Lepisosteus oculatus: one gene and its partner. The protein of the gene in region 2 purifies or fractionates together with the protein of the main gene of each other region. This does not show direct contact. Links are inferred from orthologs where the notes say so. Each region holds a gene or a part of one and is shown on either strand. Other genes may lie near its edges.

What was found. Proteins that work in one complex are often made in the same cells at the same time.
Region 1: the proteins of egfra (region 2) and pex19 purify together in Homo sapiens (co-immunoprecipitation; 3 studies listed by BioGRID and IntAct, with this or other methods). This does not show direct contact. The link is inferred for Lepisosteus oculatus from reciprocal best matches to the Homo sapiens genes EGFR and PEX19.

Annotation. Positions count from the first base shown.
Region 1 is NC_090699.1:8,502,316-8,509,168, forward strand, and holds the start of pex19 (peroxisomal biogenesis factor 19), read right to left. Parts: upstream 3,001-6,853; 5' UTR 2,821-3,000; intron 2,411-2,820; 5' UTR 2,325-2,410; coding exon 2,273-2,324; intron 20-2,272; coding exon 1-19. UniProt on the Homo sapiens protein: Necessary for early peroxisomal biogenesis. Acts both as a cytosolic chaperone and as an import receptor for peroxisomal membrane proteins (PMPs).
Region 2 is NC_090701.1:19,951,311-19,959,035, reverse strand, and holds the start of egfra (epidermal growth factor receptor), read right to left. Parts: upstream 3,020-7,725; 5' UTR 2,662-3,019; coding exon 2,589-2,661; intron 1-2,588. UniProt on the Homo sapiens protein: Receptor tyrosine kinase binding ligands of the EGF family and activating several signaling cascades to convert extracellular cues into appropriate cellular responses.

The DNA of each region.
Region 1 (6,853 bases), on a different chromosome or scaffold from region 2:
TCAAAGTCGTCCAGGGCACCTGATCAAAAACGAAAATTGAAAACCGTCAATTAGGAACAGAATCTAATCCGGTCCCGACTCGGGTCGTCTCGCTGGCGGCTACTGGGATTATTCAAACGCAGACGCTGGCACACAGCTGGCAGGAGAGAAGCAGGTTTGCGAGGTCACTGTACAGCTGCAGCGCCCGAGCCGAGGGTAACTCTTCCAGTGGTCCAGCCAAACCAGTAACCAGCCAGTTCTGTTGAGAGCTGGGATGGGAACCAGTGGACACACCTGCACCAGGGATGGACTTCTCTGCTTGGGTCCCACAGGAATTTAGCTTGAGACCCAAATTCAATTTGAAATGGCTTTATTGGCATCATGGATGAACTGAAGTGCTGCCAAAACTTTCAAGACAGACACTGAGTCTCTGCTTCAGACTGTGACAGGAGATCACATACTGGGCTACAGATCTTTTATTTTTATTGTTATTGGAGATGGTCACTGTCTAATCCTCACGCTGTGACAGGAGATCACACACTGTTTTAGTATTGAGAGACTGGCTTACTATCTGTTCCTCAGGCTGGGATATGAGAACACATTCTGTATTATTATTATTATTATTATTATTATTATTATTATTATTATTATTACTGAGAGACAGGCTCACTGTTCCTCGGGCTGGGACAGGAGATGACACACTGTATTATTATTATTGAGAGACTGGCTCACTGTTCCTCAGGCTGGGACAGGAGATCACACACTGTATTATTATTATTGAGAGACAGGCTCACTGTTCCTCAGGCTGGGACAGGAGATCACACACTGTATTATTATTATTGAGAGACAGGCTCACTGTCTGTTCCTCAGGCTGGGACAGGAGATCACACACTGTATTATTATTACTGAGAGACAGGCTCACTGTTCCTCAGGCTGGGACAGGAGATCACACACTGTATTATTATTATTATTGAGAGACAGGCTCACTGTCTGTTCCTCAGGCTGTGACAGGAGATCACACACAGTATTATTATTATTATTATTATTATTATTATTATTATTATTATTATTATTGAGAGACAGGCTCACTGTTCCTCAGGCTGTGACAGGAGATCACACACTGTATTATTATTACTGAGAGACAGGCTCACTGTTCCTAAGGCTGGGACAGGAGATCACACACTGTATTATTATTATTGAGAGACAGACTCACTGTCTGTTCCTCAGGCTGGGACAGGAGATCACACACTGTATTATTATTATTGAGAGACGGGCTCACTGTCTGTTCCTCAGGCTGTGACAGGAGATCACACACTGTATTACTATTATTGAGAGACAGGCTCACTGTTCCTCAGGCTGTGACAGGAGATCACACACCAGGCTGCAGCTCTATTGAGTTTCCTCCCCCAGTAGGTTCAGAACTGGTTCGGATTCCAGCAGAATTCTAGGAATCCTGAGGATCGATTTGTTATTTTGGGGAAGAATGTACGTCTGACCCCAGGCCTATCACTCTGCATTTAAACTACACACAGCAGTGGGTTGTGCCGGGGGGGGGTTTCCGAAAAGCACTCAAGTTTTGAGGTCGGATCTGTGATGGGCAGGAGCGACACGTTTTTAAACGCCGCGGTAGTGCTAGACACAGAACAGGGCTGCGAGTCGAAGGACGTATAGGGTCTTGACTGTTCAACATTAACAACAGCCATCATAACCACCAGCAAATATCGATTCCCAGTCGTCAGAGTTAACAATCAGGTGCATCAACTCGGGTGCATTTTACATGCTGGTGCTCCCGATTCCAAAACGGGACAGCGACACACGAGTGTAGTCTTACCTGACATGCATGCCTCACTTACTGCTATATACAGCAAGAGTATTCGCAATCTACTGAGCTGATATCGTTAAATGTGGCTTAAGTGTTAAAATGTTGAAATTCTGGCATCAACATCCGACTTGAAAACAGCAGACACTTCTTTAAGTGTCATTTTCTTCTCAAAGCAATGGCAAGTATAATAATAAACTGCTACTACAGCTTCAACTGCCTAACAGAGATAACAATAACTGCGGCAATGCTGATAGAACCAGCTTTAAAAAATAGAAAAAACCCTTCTTTTTTCTCTATTTCGCAAAACCACTCGTTTAATCATTCTGCGTTTCAACTGTCTTGGGTGACAGGTTACACCGTGTACTCTGTTCAGCAACCAAAATTTTCACACTGGGACGCCCTCTCCTTCACCGATGAACGCCAGCTACTCCTTTGAACATCCGACATTTACAGAAGAAGTACCGTCCTTACTGTCTAACAACTCGTCCAGTTCATTATCCTGCGCCTCTGCTGCCGCCGCCATCTTGAAAGGTGCCCTGGTTAGGTGATGTCAGCGCGGAAGTCCGATGCCGGCCCTTTGAATTCTGGGTGCTGTAGTTTTTTTCCGATCTATTTTAAACGGGTTTTATTCCAACTGGGCATATAATGAACTATTAACAGTGCAATAATGCATAATATAAAATCTGCATGTATAAAACAAAGTATTCAATACAATCATACAGTACAAAGAGACAATAAAAAAAATCTAAAAATTGTAAGAGATCAGGATTACAAAATTGCAATCCGCAGCATTAAAATTCGTTCGAGGCAAAAACAAAAAGTTTTCACAGACTTAAAAATAAGTGGAGATTCCAGCAGTGTCATGAGCCCTTAAAGGAAGAATATGCAATACCAGTACTAAGTTATTATTTTTAATAATTAAAGTTATGAGGAGCTCCACTCTTTAAAATCCCCCCGCCCAAAAAATTACCTGGGAACAGGCTAGTTGGAAAAAAAAACAATAACAACCCGTCCCTCACCCCTTCGTTTTTCGAGGATGTAGCGGTCGGCAAAGTTCTCATTGTCCGCTTTGCACCTAATTAGGAGTTTGGTTTTCCTGTCGAAAAAAAGAGAAAATGCTTTACGGATAAGGCGACTTAAGAGATGCCTGACTTCACCGAAGACCTTTCCCCTGTGTGAATGTGGCTTTTGTGAGGCTTCAAGTTCTGTTTCCTACTATTCATTTCCGTGAACGCGATGGCTCATAGCCGGCGACAATTCCCCCGGATGAAATTGTATTGGACGAGCTGCGATCCGTCTCGCTCTGAATACGGACGGTACAAACACAGCACCCCTGGTCGTATGACCACATACGAGATTAATATTTTAAAGACATTACCCGTGTATGAATACAAATCATCTGCTTTCATGAAATAAAGCGTACCGTTTAACCGCTGTTGCGTGTCTGGAAACAACATTTGTGTTCTAACGGTTTGTCTTATCAATAAAGTATTGAAGTATTCTGGCTTCATTAATTTATTCTTCAACAGTTTGTCTTGAATAAGGTACAGATAGAGAAACTGCGCGGGCTTCTTTTTACTGTCTCTGCTCTGCCTCATAGTCTGAGGGCTTTAACGGCATAAATGTACACATTCTGTACCTATAAATACCTGTGCTTCTCCTGAGATTTCACACTGGAGTACCTTGACAGGACTTGTGCAGCTAATTCAGTATACAGATTATTATTTGCAATAATGAAAATACTGTAGTGGTGTATTCAATACAAAAACAGGACAAACGTGTGAAAGGTATCTTGTTTATCTCCTTTGCAAATTCTCATTGGAACAGACAACATATGGAATTTTCAAAACACCTTTCTCTTAGCGAGTTACTTAGGGTTAATGACCTTTGTGTTCTCCTTATTTAAACCCTCAAATAAAATTAAAGACATTTGAAGTAAATGAATTAATCGTAACCAATTCTGTGATCCAGCAACATTTTGCATCAGAGTAACTCCTTCTTACTCCCAGCTAATAAGAGTACCAGGTACTTTTTTATAGACATAGGGTGCCTTCTGTGTGGAGTTTGTAGGCTCTCCCTGTGTTCACAGGCGTTTGCTCTGGTCTCCTCTCACAGTCCAAGGAAATACTGGTGTGTTAATGGGCTTCTAGGAAAGCCGACGCTGGTGTGAGTGTGGACGTCTGTGTCTGTGAGTGCCCTGTGACAGACTGGAGTCCCATTCAGGTTGTAAACCACTTTGCACCAGTTGCTCTCTGGGATGGGCTCCAGCTCCCCCGTGATCGTGGAGTGGATAAAGTGGTTTGAAAATGGATGGGCGATTCACTGGACACTCAGCCTAGGGGACAATCGTCCATTTTCAAAGTGGTTACTTGCCAACCACACCCACAGAATGGATCCAGAAAGAATCCAGAGCTAAACTCTGTGCTCTGTGGCTCAGGATCTGCGCCTGTGGCTGGAAGGTTGCCGGTTCAAATCCTGCAGCCGGCAGAGGAATCCTACTCCGTGGGGCCCCTGAGCAAGGCCCTTAACCCCAACTGCTCCAGGGGTGCGGTACAATGGCTGACCCTGCCCTCTGACCCCCAGCTTCTCTCTCCCTGCCTGTGTGTCTCATGGAGAGCAAGCTGGAATATGTGAAAAGACAGATTCCTAAAGCAAATTCATATCTTATCTTATAATCCACAGAATGGATCCAGAAAGAATGCAGAGCTAAACTCCTGCCAAGGGGTGGCAGTGTCACAGGATTCGTGTGGAAATGACGGATGAGCGAAGATATTGGGCAAATGGAATGGAGATGTTAAAGACAGTCAGAGTTCCATAAGAGACAGCGGGTCTAAGCCGAGGCAGAGACATGTAATGTTCCTTCTCAAGCTCAGGAGACACTTCCAGGCTGTCAGATTGTTTTCCTAAAGAAAATAAAAAAACTAAAGGAAGGGGAGAGTTCTACACATTTCCCCACAACAGCTCTCCCCTCCCCTTGACCCACCCAGGGATAAAAAACATAATTTAAACAAAAAATTACATAAACACATACATAAAAAAACAAAAAAACATAATTTGAAAAACAAACCATATTTCTAAAAATCCATTGCCACGGTATGATGTGTAATTTCTTGCACATAATTTACAGTTACAGTGTGGTTCTTTCTTTTTTGCCTTCTAGTCTCCAATAATATGAATATAAATGAAACATTCAACAATACAATAAAATGTACCAATATAAAATTGTGGTGATACTATAAAATATAAAAAAAAATATCACTTTCTACTTCCCTCTTTGACAGCCCCAGTTGCACAGAATACAGAACCCAATTTGCTGAATGAGCGCAGTGCTGTTCCTTTGTTTAATTCTGACAGTTATCTTTAAGTTGATGACCTGTTATAAAAAGATAGCAATGGCAAAAGGACAGCTCTGGTGTTTTCAAGTACTGTACTGGCACTGAAGTCATCAAAGATCACCAAGTCTCTTCTTCCCATTCCCAGGGACTCAGCCGAGCTCAGAGAAGAGAGTGTCATCCTACAGGAGCCTTGCGCTGGTCTTTGCCATTCTGTGGATCAGCACTCGCAGTGCTGGAGTGGGTTTCTACTGTGAGTACCAGCAGGGAGCAGTTCAGTGCTGACACTGGGAAGAATGATCTCTATGGCATATTGGTAAATGTATAAAACAATGCATATGTACGTTTGGTTGAACTTTCTTATACGAAGAGTAAAGTCAGAAGTGTTGCAAAATGCTATGTTGATGTATGCAATATAGTATAGGACAAGCGTAGAAGTATGATGAAAAGCACTGCTCTGTCACAGTCCACGAGAGACTTTCGGCTCCCTCTACCATATGTTAATAAAGTTTATTGTATAACCCTGGAGGAGGGGGTAGCTGTCAGCCGTGGACTCCCGGAGGTTTCCTGACAGATAAATGAGGTTTTTCTTCCCCCCTGTGCTGTGCAGCTTTTTCTATGTGCGGTACTATCTCGGTCGACATCCTACCCCTAGAGGGCACTCTACTTCATTCCTTTTCCTAGTTTTGTGTGATTATTCATGTTCTTCCGGTGTGTCTGGTTTCCATTTCCTATTTAGTCCCTGTGTCTCCAGTGTTCCTGGCTCAGCATTAAGGTACAAATGTCGCGAGGCCCGCTTAGCACCAGGTCACCCCACGTCCGTGTCCTGAGGGCATATGCCTCATCCCCAACACCGCCTGACTCCTGAGCCGGGAGCTGTGTTTGTCCCGCTTTTTGCCGCTGTGCATAGGGTCCCTACTGTTCATTCCACGGCTGGCCTTTCCGACATCCATGACTGCTCTATCTGAATAATGTTGATCTCTGGTATAGTCTTTGATCTTCTCATAACACTGGAAGGCTATAGAAAATTGATGGCTATTAAACACAGGTCCCCATTGCTGCAGGCAAGCTTTTCTTTACATCTCCAAAAGGTCTGGATGCTGTCGTGGGTAGTGTGCAGCTTCTATGTATAAATGTGAAACTGTGTGCAGCGCTACCTCACCTCAACTACCTCAACAGCTTCCAGATGTCATGCGTTTTTCTGTGTCCACACCGATTGTCAAACAACAGGCTTCTCAATCCCATGGTTACCACCAATATAGTGCTTTGGCCCTGGCAGTGTGGGCTAGGACTTGAAACATAAATCTAGACAATTAATAAATTTCCAGTTTGCAGAGGATATGCAATTTGTCAATGAATGTTTAGAAGAAAGACATTATACGAGCTCCCACCAATCACCGGATCAACAGTGCAGAAATACAAGATTTTTATCGGACAGTTCTGACTGCCACTTCTACATGGCCAGACTTGGGGGTCAAAATCCCCAGGGTATTAATCAGAGAATGCCAACTTCTCATCGCGCCAAATTGTACTCGAACATCCTTTCAAAGAATCCCACTCTAACCACCAATGTCACTTCCTGGGGAGGGTTCTGACTGGTTAGTCAACAGGTTGGATTACCAAGCTATTGTTCCTCAAGCCTAGTGTAGTAAAGCCTTCATTTTTTGTGTGAATCATTCAACTGCAACACCTTTTAGGGTGACAGTGTGTATCTCTTATA
Region 2 (7,725 bases):
TGCCCAAACTGGCAACACAGAGCGCACTGAGACAACCCGAAACACAGACATCTCCCAACTGTTCACCAGAGAGAATTGGCCCGTGTACTCAGTAACAAACCCAAAAATCACTCTCTGCCTAGAATTTAATTTTAGAGAAAACAACACGCATTGTCATTGTTTTAACAGGTTACTTGCATGCTGTGAAATACATCTTCAGAGTCTGAAAAGACAAATGGGAGTACAGCACATGAAGGAAAATACTGTACAAAGGTTTAGAAAAGTTACCTAAAACAAAAAAACACAGTTTCTCTAGAAATTAGCTGTTTTGCTAGCCACTTGTGGAATTTATAGCAAGTAGAATCAAACTGAAGGAATGGTAGAGTTTTTTGATCATGTAAAAAGGACATCAGGTTTTAAACTTCCTCCTAATCTCATGTATAAAAAGGCACAATTTGTACTGTGTTTATATTATATAAATAACTTTCTTCATGTTTACATCACTTCAGGTCACCTCAAAAAAGAGGCACATTACCTCACCGTTCAGTTGTTATCAGAAAAGCTTTTATTCTCATAATGGAAACTCAGAGACTACCCTAGACTAGAAAAACAGGCTGCAAGGCAGGACACAATGCCAGTCCATTGAGACATTAGTTAACCGAGTCGGCTTGCATTTGAAAGGAGGAAGATGGAACACCTAGAAAAGCCACACAAAAACACAGGGCAAGCATGCAAACTCCACACAGAAGGCACCACACTCCAGACACTGAACCTACAACCCAGGACCTGCGAGGCAGCAGTGCTAACCATAACCTTATCAACTTGTCATTCAACTAAAGCATTATTCCACTGGGATTCAGGAAGGAAAACTTTGACTCCTATCTCTTCTCTATCTCAAATGACATAACACTTAAGACTCTGATAACCCTGTTTTTGAAATAGTGTTTATACAATAAAATCAAATAGACCTTGAAAGAAAGCGGTTTTAACATTATTAATACTATATTTTGCATAATATGATGCGCATTTTAAGTAAATGTTTAGTAAACTTCTGTGCTATTTCTCTTCTCTGAAAAAAAAATCCTTAAAGTACATGTTTTATCTATTTTGCACGTCGCAGGCACAAGGTTTGCGCAGTTAAGTGCTCTAGTTCATCAACAAGACTTCGAAAGAGGAATCCTGCGGGGCTGATGTCTCCACTTGGTTTTAACTAATCCTACCGATCCGAGAAACCAATATTGCCTTTAAATTTAAGAAATTCTACCACTAAAACAAATTTCCTGCATTATTTACTTTTCCTGTATATTGACTATAGAGAACTCTCAGAATTTCAAGCGGGGTTTTTTTTTTTCGGATCAGCAGACAGATGTGCCATTGACTTTATACTGGCACAGTAGCGTTTGACCTACTACTCCCCTTACTGTGGATTCTGCCAGCCTCTAACAATGAAGATCTTGTTACACTCAAAGAGTTGATGGACAATACGAAAATGATACCAATTTAAAGTTTTCAAACACAGATAAAACGTATAATTGGCATTGCATTTGCTTTTGGTGTGCTTTATCTTTTCTGAGAATTACTGTACTTTCGATTTCAGGACGAGATGACTGGGCACTCGGAACACTTCAACCTGCTGGTTTATTCGGTGGTTTGTAGTAGTCGTCGTGCCACCTATTTTATTGCGAGATATTTGTTCACGAATGATCTGGATATGTTTTGTATGACATCGTAAACAGAATGACTTTGTCTTACCCATTTTATTAAAAATGTGATTTTGAAATTGGACATGAAGGAATCTTTGTTTTATACATTGTACACTGGCACTGATGCTTGTTTGACTACTGTATATACCTGTGCGACGTCTTCTTGTAAAATACAGTAGATGATTAACTTCATTTCATATAGTTCGCTATTATTTAAGTCCGCAAATACTGAAATACTTAACGTTTCCCTTCACTTTTGCAGCATAATACTCCACAATAGCGCTTCTCCATTCCTCGATTACTAAATGACTTACAACGCAATACATTTCTCTAAAACACCATAACGTATCCATCCAGATACCACGAAATAACATTTGCCTGATCATTAAGGAACGCATTTATTCATTTAAAATAAGAATCACTCCGTAAAAAAAGTTAACATATCAGTTTTCCCTGTTGTGATTATCAGTTGCCTTGCACTTTGCGGGCATCCCATTCTTGTAGGTCTTTTGAAACTATAATAATAATAATAATAATAATAATAATAATAATAATAATAATAATAATAATAATAATAATATGTACCTCTTTATTTCCTAAGGCTTTGCACTGATGTTAATTCGATACTCATACGACAAACGCAGAACAAATTCTAGTGTAAGGTAAGAAGTAATCTGCTGTACTCCTCATTCCTGCAACAAGGAAGCACTGTACCGGTACTACAGTTTCCCACGCTGCCTCTGTATCTTGAACAAACTACAGATATACAAACGCGAACAAAGCAATACGAGATTGTTTCAAAGCTTAGTGTATTAAAACTTTACTCCCGGGTCATTAAATTACTATTAACAAACAGTTGCATGTCTTCAGGAAAGGTCTTGTACAAGTTATCTTTCTTTCACTTACCTCTCTTGTCCTGTATACTGCAACAGCCAAGAGTGAGCAAGGAAGACAGGACGATCGCAATTTCGAATTGCATTGCTGCGAGTTTTCTTGAGCTCTTCGTTTCTTCTCTTCTCCTTCAAATATGTTCTTTTTTATTCCATACTGGTACTGACAAATTTTGTGTGGTGAATAAAGCCTCTACTTTCTCCCTCTCTAGCTGTCAAAGGGAAATAGTAGGAAATTTTGGGAAGGCGTCAGCGGCGTTACTTTTCTTTCCTTAGCACAGAAACTTTGACAGCTCCTCCTTCGTTCTCCTGAATTACTTGTGGCGAGAATTGAGCCGAATAAAGTCTCTCAGCCAGCGGAGGTTCTGACGTCACCACTGGGAGGGGGATTATTGCGCTGCAGATAAATGCATTAACAGGTAAAGTAAATCCTGCCGACTGACATGATTCACAACTTCTGCTCATGTGCAGTTGTGCCAGGTATGTTCTGTGCGATGTTGAAATTCACTGCTTTCCGGTATTTCGTAATTCTCCAGCATGTACTAAGCAAGCGCTATCAGTTTCGAACTCGCGAAATTTATTATTGATCTTCAGGAATACTGTAAAACGTTATGCCGTTTGTTCACAAACATCACTTTTGTAACGGAAATGACCACTTTAGTGTGGTTTTACTTATCCGCATGTTGTGTTATTATTATTGTTATTGTTGGTGGTGAAAGTGTTGCTTCCAAATCCTTAAACAAACAATAAAACAATGGCTTCGACAAAGTCTGTGTAGAGAGGATATTACTCAAATCAACCTAGAGAGAGAGAGGTAAATTAAATAGACACCCACTGTGATTTAAACAGGCAGTTCAAGCCACATCATAATCACATAAGTGCCTGCTGTAGCAGGTTAAATGTTTAAGCCTGCAGCCATTTCACAGACAGGAAACTGATGAAAACCAGTAGATTTTTCCCCCCCAAGTTTGAACAGTAACATTTTCAACAAGCAGGAACATAACACGAGTAATGCCGTTTTCAACGATACTTTAGGATCCACTGGAATAAGGTGTAAGAAGCTGTCTGCTCTCAAATGAGTGACAAGTGTTTATGTGTTCATCCTCTGCTGTACTGTATGCTCTCCTAGTCAACAGAACAGACATTTCAAGTTATAAAATGTGGAAAGGAAAGCAAGCCTGACATTGTAGTCCAAATGTAGCAGAACGTGTGCAGGCACCCAGAGAAGACCATCTGATGTTATCTCCACAGCCTGGGTACAACAGCCGAGCAACCAGACAAAGACAGCTTCTCATTCCATGCAGTGTCATTCGTCAACTACTGTGGAAAGTGGAGGTCCTACCACACCCTCCTGTCTTCTGGAGGACTCGCATTTCTACCCCAACCCCCACTGCATTGCCCTGCCCACACACACAATCCAGGTCTTTATAGCTGTCACATAGTAGTCACACACAGGTGTGCTCATCCCAGCACAGGAGGTTTACCTGGAACTTCTGCAAGCCACCACTGAATATAGTTTCTTTACGGTATACAGTAACTTGCAGCTGGGACAAGAGATAAGAGACTAGCATACTATAGCTGGGGAAATGCAAATGAACTTCTGCATTTTTGCAGCTCTGCCATGGCATGTTCAATTACTGTACATGAACCAAGTGGGGGAACATACAGTATAGGCAATATTGGACTGATCTCTGCTGAAGCATCCCAACTTATTTAAGGCCAAGAATACAGTAGGCTGAGGTTCTGCAGACCAGAATTACCAATCCCTTTCATGACCAAATGCACACAGCAAAATACAGAACCACAAAGCATTAAAAGTATATACTGTATAGTATATATGAGAGTTCTGTATTGTGCTACACTTTCAAATATTGTTTTTAGGTTGAATCTTGATAACTCAGAAAAATGTGGTCTTGTTTGAAGTCAAGTGTGCACAACCGAATTTGAGTTCTCATTAATCTAACATGGGAAAGGTGTCAATGTTTATGCAGAATAAATAACTAGACATGGAGATTTCACTACAAAAGGTTTAATAGGTGTTATGTTTGTTACAGATTACAGCCAGGGGCACAATTGAGCATAACACATTTTTAACAAAGTATTTCTAACAGTATTTTCTACAAAACTACAGTACAACTTGGTTAGACAGAATACAGTATCAATTTAAAAATGAGGTCTCTGTGAAAGTTTTCCTTTCCTGATGCCTTTGTACCAATATGAGAAGCTAATTTCACTGCAATTGCATGCAGTTGAATCAAAATAATACTGTTTACTGCTGCCAATGAAAGAACCAGCACCATGATAATATCAATGAATTGTGAGGGCTGTTTCCTTAGGAAGCAGACAAAATTACACAAAGTAATTATTTAGAATGTATCTTCAAGAATCACTCTATTCTGATGTACTACAGTACAACATCTAATATAAGCAGTCACAGGACATTTGGTTTGGGATTTTTTTTCCTCTGGTCATTCATTCATGAAGAAATGATGTACATTATGGCATAGTTTAGGTTGTCTGCCTTACAAAAACAGAAAGAAGTCCCTTTCATTGAGCACACAGAAACATTCTAATTTTGCCATACAGTAGTACTGTAATTTGCCATAATGAAAACAAGATCCAAATGCTAACTCTGATCCTTTACATTTGCACATTTAAATTGTTCATTTAAATGTCATTTAATGACATCATCATTTAATGATGCAGTGCAGACACTTTTAACTTGCAGTATGATCCCCTTCCCCACTAAGAAGAGAACTACAAAAGGCATATTTTAATCATCCACAAAAGGAATTGTTACAATTGAAAGTAATCTACAGACGAATGAAAGAACAAGGTACAGCATGCACTGCAAAATCTGACGTCAACTACAGAGCTTTGCGTCTTTTGGAATGTTTGTATGCATATCAATGTAAATCATAGGATAGGTTAACACAGCACAAGTTGGCTTCAAGTGTGTACAGTGAACTGGGGAGGGTTATCTTGAACACACAACTGCTTTTTCAGCCCCTTAGATTTACATCTACTGTAACTTTAGTTTGCACTAGAAGGTGGAGCTGCATGTCCTTAATACAACTGATAAATATGTCCCTGAAATTAAATTGTATATAAAATTTCTGAAACAAAACACCTTTGCAGTCATTTGCAAAGGAATTTAGGCTTTTGATTTCATTTATAAGAAACTAAACAATAATGATACTAAAGCAATGATACCGTATGCACTGACTTTAGCGAAGAGAAACAAACTTGAATGAAAAAACGAGCAAATAATCATTGTTAGCAGCACATGCAAATGGCAAGGGCACCATGCTAATTAAGTAGTTATTGTTAATCCAGAGTGAAGTAAAACAATTTTATTCTTGGAATAGAATGAGACAGTCTTATTAAATTAGCTATAAAACATACATTCACAGCTAAATTGAAACTAGCAAACAATGTTTTATTATTATTATGTCAACAAAACATAGGTAGAAAATTATAATTTATATATATAAATTATAGTTTAATAAAACTTTTAACATTTAAAAAGTTTATCTTATACTGTATACTGATATACGTAATTGTATTTGACTGCTATACACTATGTACTGCAAGTATGAACTTTTCAAATCTTAAAAAAACTAAATAAGCTAAAATGTAACACTTGTAATCAATTATTAACCTTTAGGAGAGGAGCAACTTCTTTTTTATGGGTATATTTGCATACTGTATATTTATAACAATCTTCTTGATTAGTCTTCAATTTGATTTTCTTTTCACATATGGATTACTTGAGAACTGATCAAGTACTTCTTATGGTACCGCTGTATCACCTGCAAGTACACAGCCAACACCACACTCATTCAAGGCCCCTCAGGACAGTTCCGGATCACCCAGACAGCATCTTGTACCTCCAGCAACCTTATTTACTGTATCTCTTGCAGTAAATGCCCAGCCATCTACATTGGAGAAACAGGAAGGAGACTCGGAGACCGCTTCAGAGAACACATAAGGGCTGTGAAGATTAAAGATCTCTCCAAGCCCATTGTTTCTCATTTCACCTCTGACGGCCACGACCACTCTAATCTCTCCGTCTGTGTTCTCAAAGACGGTTTTCCAAACTCATACATCAGAAAGACCACCGAAACTAAAATTATTCTGCAGCTAGGATCACACATTCTCCCTTCCCTTAACGACAGACTACTGTTCTTTTAAATTTTCTCCATTCATTGGAAGTTTCATTTCACACCTCTCTGCACCCATTCTGACTTCACACCTCTTGATTGGCCTCTCTTTCTGTCCCCTGCTCCCGCCTCTCACTCCTCCTCCCTCCCAACCTTTCTTCTCCCGCTACTTTACCTTTGCCTACTGCCCTGTCTCTCTCACACCTGAAGAAGGCTCCACGGCAGAAATGTTGTGTTCTCTTTCTTCTTTTTTTCAGCATGGAATAAACCTATAACTAAGTACTTCTTATGTTTTGTTTTGCCACATTTTAAGAGCATAATTTAGTATAATTACAACTTTTAATGTTAAGTGACATTTTTAAACAACATAACAGTATTGTTCCCTTCACACACAAATACACCTTTATTTTCCCTAATTTTCAATATACTGTATCAAAAATGTCAAACTGTCTTTCATTATAAATGCATATATCACATAGAAAGGACCTCTTCAATACTAAAACAAAATTTTAACATCCATTGAACTATAAAGTACACAATACAATTCAGTTAAATTGTAATATTCACACAAGCCAGAGATATTTATTTCACTGGTGTAACTGAAATACTTTTGTACCATTTAAAAATATGTACAGTATTGTCTTTTTATCAGAAATCTTTGGACCTGGGCATTCAATCACCAGTTTGTATTTGAATTAATTTTTCAATATAAGCATGAAGTCTGTACTTATGGATAAGTAGCTTTTCCATTAATCTTTTTAAATTTCGTATTTAAATAATGACCACACAGCTACTATTAAAGCAGGAAGTATAGTTCACCTCTGGAATTACAGTAGCTATGCATACATACCACTTAAATGAACGGATTCTTAATTGTGTGACAAAAGTAATTAATTTTTAAATTAATAAAATAAATCATTCTGAAATGAATAATAAAAGATAAAATAAAGAAATGATAACCATAAAACCCCTATATTGGTGAGTCAATTC